Cricetulus griseus: one gene and its partner. The protein of the gene in region 1 interacts with the protein of each later gene in a biochemical or structural test. Links are inferred from orthologs where the notes say so. Each region holds a gene or a part of one and is shown on either strand. Other genes may lie near its edges.

Region 1 (3,813 bases):
CACGTCCAGACCCTGCTGTTCACTTGACCCTGGTGGCAGCGACTATCCTCTGTCCTTCCTCACTGCCTCTCCCTTGCTTCCCTGCTCTTTAGCCCCAGAAGTGACAATGCCCTTGAAGGACAGGTGGGCCAGGGGAGAGCAGAGAGAACCTGCAGCTTCCACCCCAGCTTGGCAGCCACATGAAGGGAGAGTAAGGCTGGTAGCTTTGGCATGTTGGAGTCAGCCCCAGTCCCAACAACCCCGGGGGCAGGAACTGACTTGAGTGCCTCTTTGCCACCTTCCGCAGCCTGATGAGCAGCCTAAATACGAGGACAACATCTACATGTACATCTACTTCGTCATCTTCATCATCTTCGGCTCCTTCTTCACCCTCAACCTGTTCATTGGTGTCATCATTGATAACTTCAATCAACAAAAGAAAAAGATAGGTCTCCTCCCCACATTGCCAGTGGTCAGAGGTCAACCCAGATGAGAGGCACACTGGCCTTGTCTCTAGGGAGACTCTATCTTCCTCTAAAACTCAGACTGCTACCTCATGGTAGCACTGGCCCTGGTATCCCGGCAGCAACCCCTTTTGTTTGGGGCTGCACTTGGCAGTGTGTGGCTAACCACATTTCCCTGAGATCTCACATTCCTGAGGCCACTATTGTTAGAGCTTTCTACCAGAGGGAGGGACAAAAGAAGCAGATAGTGCTATGGTGAGAAACAGAAGTAGTCACGGTGGGATTTCAAGGCAACCCTCAGAGGGTTCCTTTCATCACTTGTCCCACATGGGTAGTGATTCTTCCAAAGCAAACTGGATGACAGATTTACTCTTGTGCATAAGTTCAGTGAGTTAAGAGAACCACATGGTCCAATTTTTTAAGTTCATAAAAAGCAAGTGCACCATTTTTGGCACTCAAAAATCTTGTTTTTAAATATTTGGAGGAGGGGGGTGCTGGGCATGGCAGTGCACACCTTTAATACCAGTATTCAGGAGGTAGAGGCAGGCAAATAGATCTCTCTTCATAGTTCCAGGCCATACAGGATTACATAGTGAGACTCTTAAAACAAAAGCAAACAAACAAACAAATACATGTTTTCCCCTTGATGTGGCTATCTTCTGGTCCCTTGCTCTCCACTTCTGCCCTGAGAGGCTGAAGTCGAACAGTCCCATCTCACTGTGTGGCCTGGAAGATCTCAGACACCCAAGCTGGAGTAATTGCCCAGGAGTGCTCCCTGCAGGAGAGCTCCCCCACCAACCTGACCTCTAGAGGGAGAGCCTCTCCATTCTCGGTGCTGGACCTAGATGCTCAGTTGCACCACCAGAGCCAGTTGTAATTGTCCTTTCTTCATCCTTTCTTTACTTTGGAGGTCAAGACATCTTCATGACAGAGGAACAGAAGAAGTACTACAATGCCATGAAGAAACTGGGCTCCAAAAAACCCCAGAAGCCCATTCCCCGCCCTTTGGTAAGAACACTGGCCAAATATAGTTGGTTTTTCACTCTGAGGGCCTGCCACCCAGTTCCCAAATAAATACAGGGAGACTTATACTTACTTATGAGTGCCTGGCCTTAGCTTGGCTTGTTTCTAGCCAGCTTTTCTAACTTAAATTATCCCATTTCTCTTTAACTATGTTTTGCCTCTGGGCTTTTCACCTTCCTTTATTCTATATGTCTTTCTTTCCTTCTTACTCTGTGGCTGGCTGGGTGGCTGGGTGGCTGGGCCCTAGTGTCCTCCTCTCCTCCTTTTCTTGCTCCTCATTCTTCCCTAGATTTCTCCTCCTATTTATTCTCTCTGCCTGCCAGCCCCACCTATTCTTTCTGCCTAGCTATTGGTCGTTCAGCTCTTTATTAGATCAATCAGGTGTTTTAGGCAGGCAAAGTAACACAGCTTCACAGTTAAACAAATGCAACATAAAAGAACGCAACCCGACAAGCGGTGGCACACGCCTTTAATCCCAGCACTCGGGAGGCAGAGGCAGGCGGATCTCTGTGAGTTCAAGACCAGCCTGGTCTACACAGTGAGTTCCAGGATAGGCTCCAAAGCCACAGAGAAACCCTGTCTCGAAAAAAAAAAAAAAAAAGAAAAAAAAAAAGAACGCAGCCCATGTTTGTGTCATTAAGCAAATATCCCTCACCTTAAGCAAATGAAGCATGTCTTGAGCTAATATTCTCCCGTCTCTCCTTCGCAGAACAAAATCCAAGGGATCGTCTTTGATTTTGTCACTCAGCAAGCCTTTGACATTGTCATCATGATGCTCATCTGCCTTAACATGGTGACAATGATGGTGGAGACAGACACCCAAAGCAAGCAGATGGAGAACATTCTCTACTGGATTAATCTGGTCTTCGTCATCTTCTTCACCTGCGAGTGTGTACTCAAAATGTTTGCCTTGAGGCACTACTACTTCACCATCGGCTGGAACATCTTTGACTTCGTGGTGGTCATCCTCTCCATTGTGGGTGAGTGGGCAGGGCCAGCAGAGGGACAAGGGGGTGAATTTAGGGTGAGCAGGTGCCTCTCAGATCCCACCCCATTGTACTCCTCAGTCTTCTCGCAGACCTGCCTGGCAGGGCGCATGGGTAGTGTTTCCACTGAGTGCTCCCAGCCCTCTTGGGTGTAAATGCTGCAGCCCAGAGGCAGGAGATGAAATCTGATTTGCTTTCAAGGGATTCAACATCTACCAGGAAAAGCAAAAGAAACTTGTTTTTTAAATGTGGCAATGGCCTGGAGAGATGGCTCAGCTGGTAAAATGATTTGCTGTATATCTTCACTAGGGTTTCTATTAACATGATGAAACACCATGACCAAAAGCAATCTGGGGAGAAAAGGGTTTGTTTCCCTCAGTTCCATATAACAGTTCATCATCAGAAACAGTGAGGGCAGGAACTCAAGCAGGGCAGGATCCCAGAGGAAAGAGCTGATGCAGAGGCCATGGATGGTGTTGCTTACTGGCTTGCACCCCATGGTTGCTCAGCCAGCTTTCTTATAGAACCAAGGACCATCAGCCCAGGGATGGCCTCACCCAGGCCAGCTGGGCTCTCCCCCATCAATCACTAAGTAAGAAATGCCCTACAAGCTTGCCTACAGCCCCATCTAATGGAGATATATTCTCAATTGAGGCTCACTCCTTTCTGATAACTAGTTCATGTGTCAAGTTGACATAAAACTAACCAGTCCACTGTACAAGCATGAGGACCTGATTTTGATCACCAGAACCCATGTTGTGGACATGGTATACACAGTTACAATCCCTTCACTGGGGAGGCAGAGACAGGCAGACCCCTTGAGCTCACTGGCTGGCCAGCATAGCCCACTTGGTGGGTTGTAGGCCAGTGGGAGACCCTGTCTCAAAAAACAAGGTTGATAGCACCTAAGAAATGACACCCAAGGTTGACCTCTGTGATACATACATGCAGGCATGGCTGTCGTGAAGTATGAAGTGATCAAAGTGTGGCTAAGATTAAGACAGTAACTGAATTACCTAAGCACATTCTGGAGGCTATGGTCACAGAGCTGCTGTCATTGCCAGTAGTACTGGCTACATAGATGTCACTGTGGGCAAGAGTAGCTGCAAAGTCACCCCCCCCCCAAGTTGTCTCATTGGGACCTCACAGCTGCACCAGAGCCAGGCTGTCTTACCTTCCCTGATCGGCTTGTTTACCTGGGCGGTGGCAGAAGCAGAACTCAAGTTGGTCCCAAAGTTCATGTTTCCTTCAGCCTAAAAACAAAGCAGGGTTGAAGTTCTAGCGAGTGAAGAAGTCCTCAGGTGATGTCTCCTTCTTGAAAGGTACCCCAAGTGCTATGTCCATGCCTTGGTTCCAGGTAA
Region 2 (3,913 bases), on another chromosome or scaffold:
AAGGGTGAGTATAATGCTGGTTCAATTAGAAGGCAGAAATAAGCCACTGATTAGAGCATGAAATTAGGATACTTTCTGTCAAGGAAAGCATTTCAAAGGAATGGACTATCTGTCTAGAAAAGGCATAAATGTTATTCTGTAAATATGACTTTCCCCACAAAAAATATGCTTTCATCTAGATTTTGGTGATTGTCTTTTTTTGTTTGTTTATTTTTTGACAGGGTTTTCTGTGTATTCCTGACTGTGTTGAAATTCACTTTATGGACCAGGCTGGCCTCGATTTCACGGAGATCTTCCTGTCTCTGTCTCCTGAGTTCTGGAATTAAAGGTGTATGCCACCACTGTTCGGTTGGTGTTTGTCCTTTTATTAGGCTGTTTCTAGAAATGTGTATTGGTTATCTACCTGGCTTTTATTTTTCTATGAGCACGGTAAGTGGGAGTCACTACCCAAGAAAGAAAGGGACTTGAATTTTCCTTAATATATAAGGTGCCTTAATGTTGCTTTTGAGGATGGCGAGTGGAGTTGGTTTTGGCTGTGTGCAAATGGCATTAAACTCCTCCACCATGTATTTTCTAAGGTTTACTCATTATAATTGTTAATTGTACTTTTAAAATTCGCTTTCAACAGCAGGATTTGAGACCAGCAGCAGGCCTGTGAGCTGGGTGAGGAGGAAGAGGGTCTCTGGGGTTGGGCTGGCCTGGCTGGAGTTGGTGGAGGGGAGTGTTCTGGAGGGGTGGCACACACTGCAGTGACAGTCCCTCCCAGGGCTGGTTGAGGCACCTCACTGGTGACGGGTCTGAAAGCACGTGGCTACGTCATGGAAAGCCAGTCTTTTCAATGCAAACTTCAACTCCTCCTCCTCCCTCTAATGCCTGTAACTCACAGCCAAGGCTGGGCGAGAAATACGGAGGAGAGATTTTCCTCATGCTCACGGTGCCTGGAGACTGGAAGGAAGAGTGTAAGGAAGGAGAAAGGAAATTTGTGGCGCTTTCTACCTACTACGAGACTGACAAGGGGAGGGGGCATCTACATTACATCTTCTCTTCGTGATTAAGAACTGCAGTTTCAGTCCAATCCCACGGAGCTCTGGTGATTGCTTATCTTTGAAAAAAAAAAAATTGACCGCGGGAGAAGGAAGGCTCAGTCTTTGGCGGCCAGATACATCTCGGAGGTGGTATTGGTGTATGAGTGTGTGTGGTGGTGTTTTGTTTTTCTTTTTTCTTTTTTCTTTCTTTCTTTCTTTTTCCTTTCTTCCTTTTTTTCTCCCTCCCCCCACCCCCCGTTTTTTCCCTTCTCTCCTAGGGGCTACACAATGGCAGTCTTCTCTCGCTAAGATGAATCCAGCTTGCCTTCTGCAGATCCGCCCATCCTCAGTTCCATTGAGTAAAAGGCTATGATTTTCTCTTTGGAGATCTTTTGTGCATTACTGTTCTTCCTGATTAGTTCTGATCTCGGTTGGGATTTCTTTGCTTTTTTTGGTTTAGCTTCATGTGAAAAAGGATTTTTTTCTCTCCAACCCTTTGGTCATGATCCAGTGCTGATCAAGAGGGGATAAATCATTCACCCTGGCCGAGAAAAAACAATCGCTGAGAAGTCTCAAAGAGGTATACCACGTGAGGGGAAAAAACTGGGAGAAGATCTGGAATATTAACGTTTTTCCTATGGTAAAACCGGTGCCCCTCTTCAGGAGAACTGATTTCAAGTTATTATTATGCAACCACAAGGGCCTCTTCTTTCTCAGGGTGTCTAAGCTGCTGGGTTGCTTTTCGCCCAAATCAATGTGGTTTCTTTGGAACATTTTCAGCAAAGGAACGCATATGCTGCAGTGTCTTTGTGGCAAGAGTCTTAAGAAAAACAAGAACCCAACTGGTAAGCAAAGCATGCATCATATTCTGTTTTTCCTCGTAATACCCTGTCTGTTGCTCACCGAGCTAGGTCTGCAGTTTTGCTATGCAGGAGGCCAGGGAACACCAAGGAACCCGGACAGTGTTGCATACAGAGGTGTTGCATGAATAAACAAGTAGCTACCGCCGATTTGCTTCCTCCGGACCCAAAAAACCTGATCAACAGCTCTTAGCTGTGACACAATCCATCACTAGGAGGGAGGAGTAAACTTTTTTTTTTTAAACCCCACTAAATGGATTTGGTCTCTCGTTTGTCTGGTGGAATATTGAAGGGCTTATGGCTTATGGCTGTGCCAGGAGAAAGAGCAGAGAGCTTGCCTTACTTCTGCTCCTCTGGGGACAGAGCTTTAGACTTTCTGATTAGCTTGCACAATATTCGCCACCCCATCACCTTTAGCAAAGTAAAAGCTCCCCCTCCTTCATGGCCCGGCTCCTCCGTCAGCCCCCGCCTCCCTCCCCCGTCTAGCTCTGGGTGCTATTAACTCATTCCCTAGTCTGCCTCTGACACATCTAGCCTGCGAACAGTGAACACTGGAGCAGGGCTTGTGCCTGGGGGAACCAGGTCCTAGAGGACAACCCCAGTCCCTCTAATATATGCCATTTAAGTTCCTTTCCCTTTCACAAACGGGCGTGCAAACCCTGTGTGTGGGTCCCAGGATGACCAGCGGGTCCCTGCCTTATGCCTTCTGGCGACCACACGCCCCGATTTCAAAGGGCTCCAACCAGGGAACTTGCAGTATATTACATAAGAAATGCAAATGCAGGTGATTTGGGGAGCCGGTCCCAGGGGTTTACTTCCCTGTGTCTAGTCTGAGGCGTTTGGGAGCCGCGGAGTCGTGGGCGAGCAACCCTCAGGCAGCTACGCTGGAGGGCTGCCTGGCGGTGGCAGCTGCGGCAAAGGAGGCTGGGTGCAGTGTTTCCTCAAATCATTTCTGCTGTCAGCCAGGAGCGTGCGGCATCTCCTGTTTGGGATGGAGTGGGGAGAGGCCTGGAGCGGAGCGGTTTATTTATTTATTTATTTATTTATTTATTTATTTATTTATTTATTTATTTATTTATTTATTTTGTCTGTAGCTGTGCTGGAGGGGCGGGGGATCATCTGTCCTGCAGCGGCAGCGGGGCAACTAAGGCTGCTTGAAGCTGGCACTGCGGTGCACTAGATCATGGCTCTCCCGCGACCGCCCTGACACCTGGGGCTCAGAGCCGGCCACGCTGTCACCCAGAACTCCCACGGCTGGGCAGCAAGTGGCTGCTCGCTCCCAGCCTCTCAACCTAGCAAATGTAACATCATGGGGATGACGCGAGCAGAGGGGGTTGCGGCCTTGTGGTTTTAAGGAGAACAGAGGAGCGTGGGTGGGCGGGGTTGGAAGCAGTGGGTGTGGAGGTCTAGGACGTTTTGCAGACACCACTTCTGCAAAAAAAGGCAAGGTGCATGAGAGTTGTTAAGAGTGTCCAAAAGGGCAAATGCTCCTGTGCTCAGGGCAAGGGAAGTTGCTCCTAGCTGGGGAGCTTAGAGGACTATGGAGGTTCTGAGAAGAGACAGCCATTGACTTCTCAAGGGTTACCTGCTCATTGAAGTTGTTGCCTCTGTCCTACTGTCCTGGTCCTTGAATTCTACATTCATACCTTGCCTAACGAGCCTCCTTCACTGTTTCCTGTCCTTTTACCCTTCTGCACCTTACCTACTCAGCGTTTAGTGACACTGGAAGTCTCATCCTGAGACTTCTCTAAGGAAAGAGCAGACTGGACACCCTACTTAGCAGAGCATTCCTGATTCAGGCCCAGAGTGTACTCCCGGTCCTTGGCATCCAGCCTAACACTACAGATGCTTGGTTCAATTACCCACCTACATCTGCAGCACTGGTTCATGCCCTGAACATGAAATAGCTGTCTGCAGGACTTTCCAAGGTGGACAGGCCAAAGGCTAGAAGCCTTCTTGTGTTGTTCTGTGAAAAGATTTAGCTTTCTTCTGAAAAAGCAACACAGTAGAAAGCCTTTCTTTTTTTGT

The links.
Region 2: the proteins of Scn8a (region 1) and Fgf14 form a complex in vitro, tested with the Homo sapiens proteins (2 studies listed by BioGRID). The link is inferred for Cricetulus griseus from reciprocal best matches to the Homo sapiens genes SCN8A and FGF14.

What each region holds. Positions count from the first base shown.
Region 1 is NC_048595.1:397,474,196-397,478,008, forward strand, and holds part of Scn8a (sodium channel protein type 8 subunit alpha), read left to right. Parts: intron 1-286; coding exon 287-424; intron 425-1,346; coding exon 1,347-1,451; intron 1,452-2,175; coding exon 2,176-2,446; intron 2,447-3,813. UniProt on the Homo sapiens protein: Pore-forming subunit of a voltage-gated sodium channel complex assuming opened or closed conformations in response to the voltage difference across membranes and through which sodium ions selectively pass along their electrochemical gradient.
Region 2 is NW_023276807.1:274,270,035-274,273,947, reverse strand, and holds the start of Fgf14 (fibroblast growth factor 14), read left to right. Parts: upstream 1-1,662; coding exon 1,663-1,870; intron 1,871-3,029; exon of another isoform or gene 3,030-3,316; intron 3,317-3,913. UniProt on the Homo sapiens protein: Probably involved in nervous system development and function.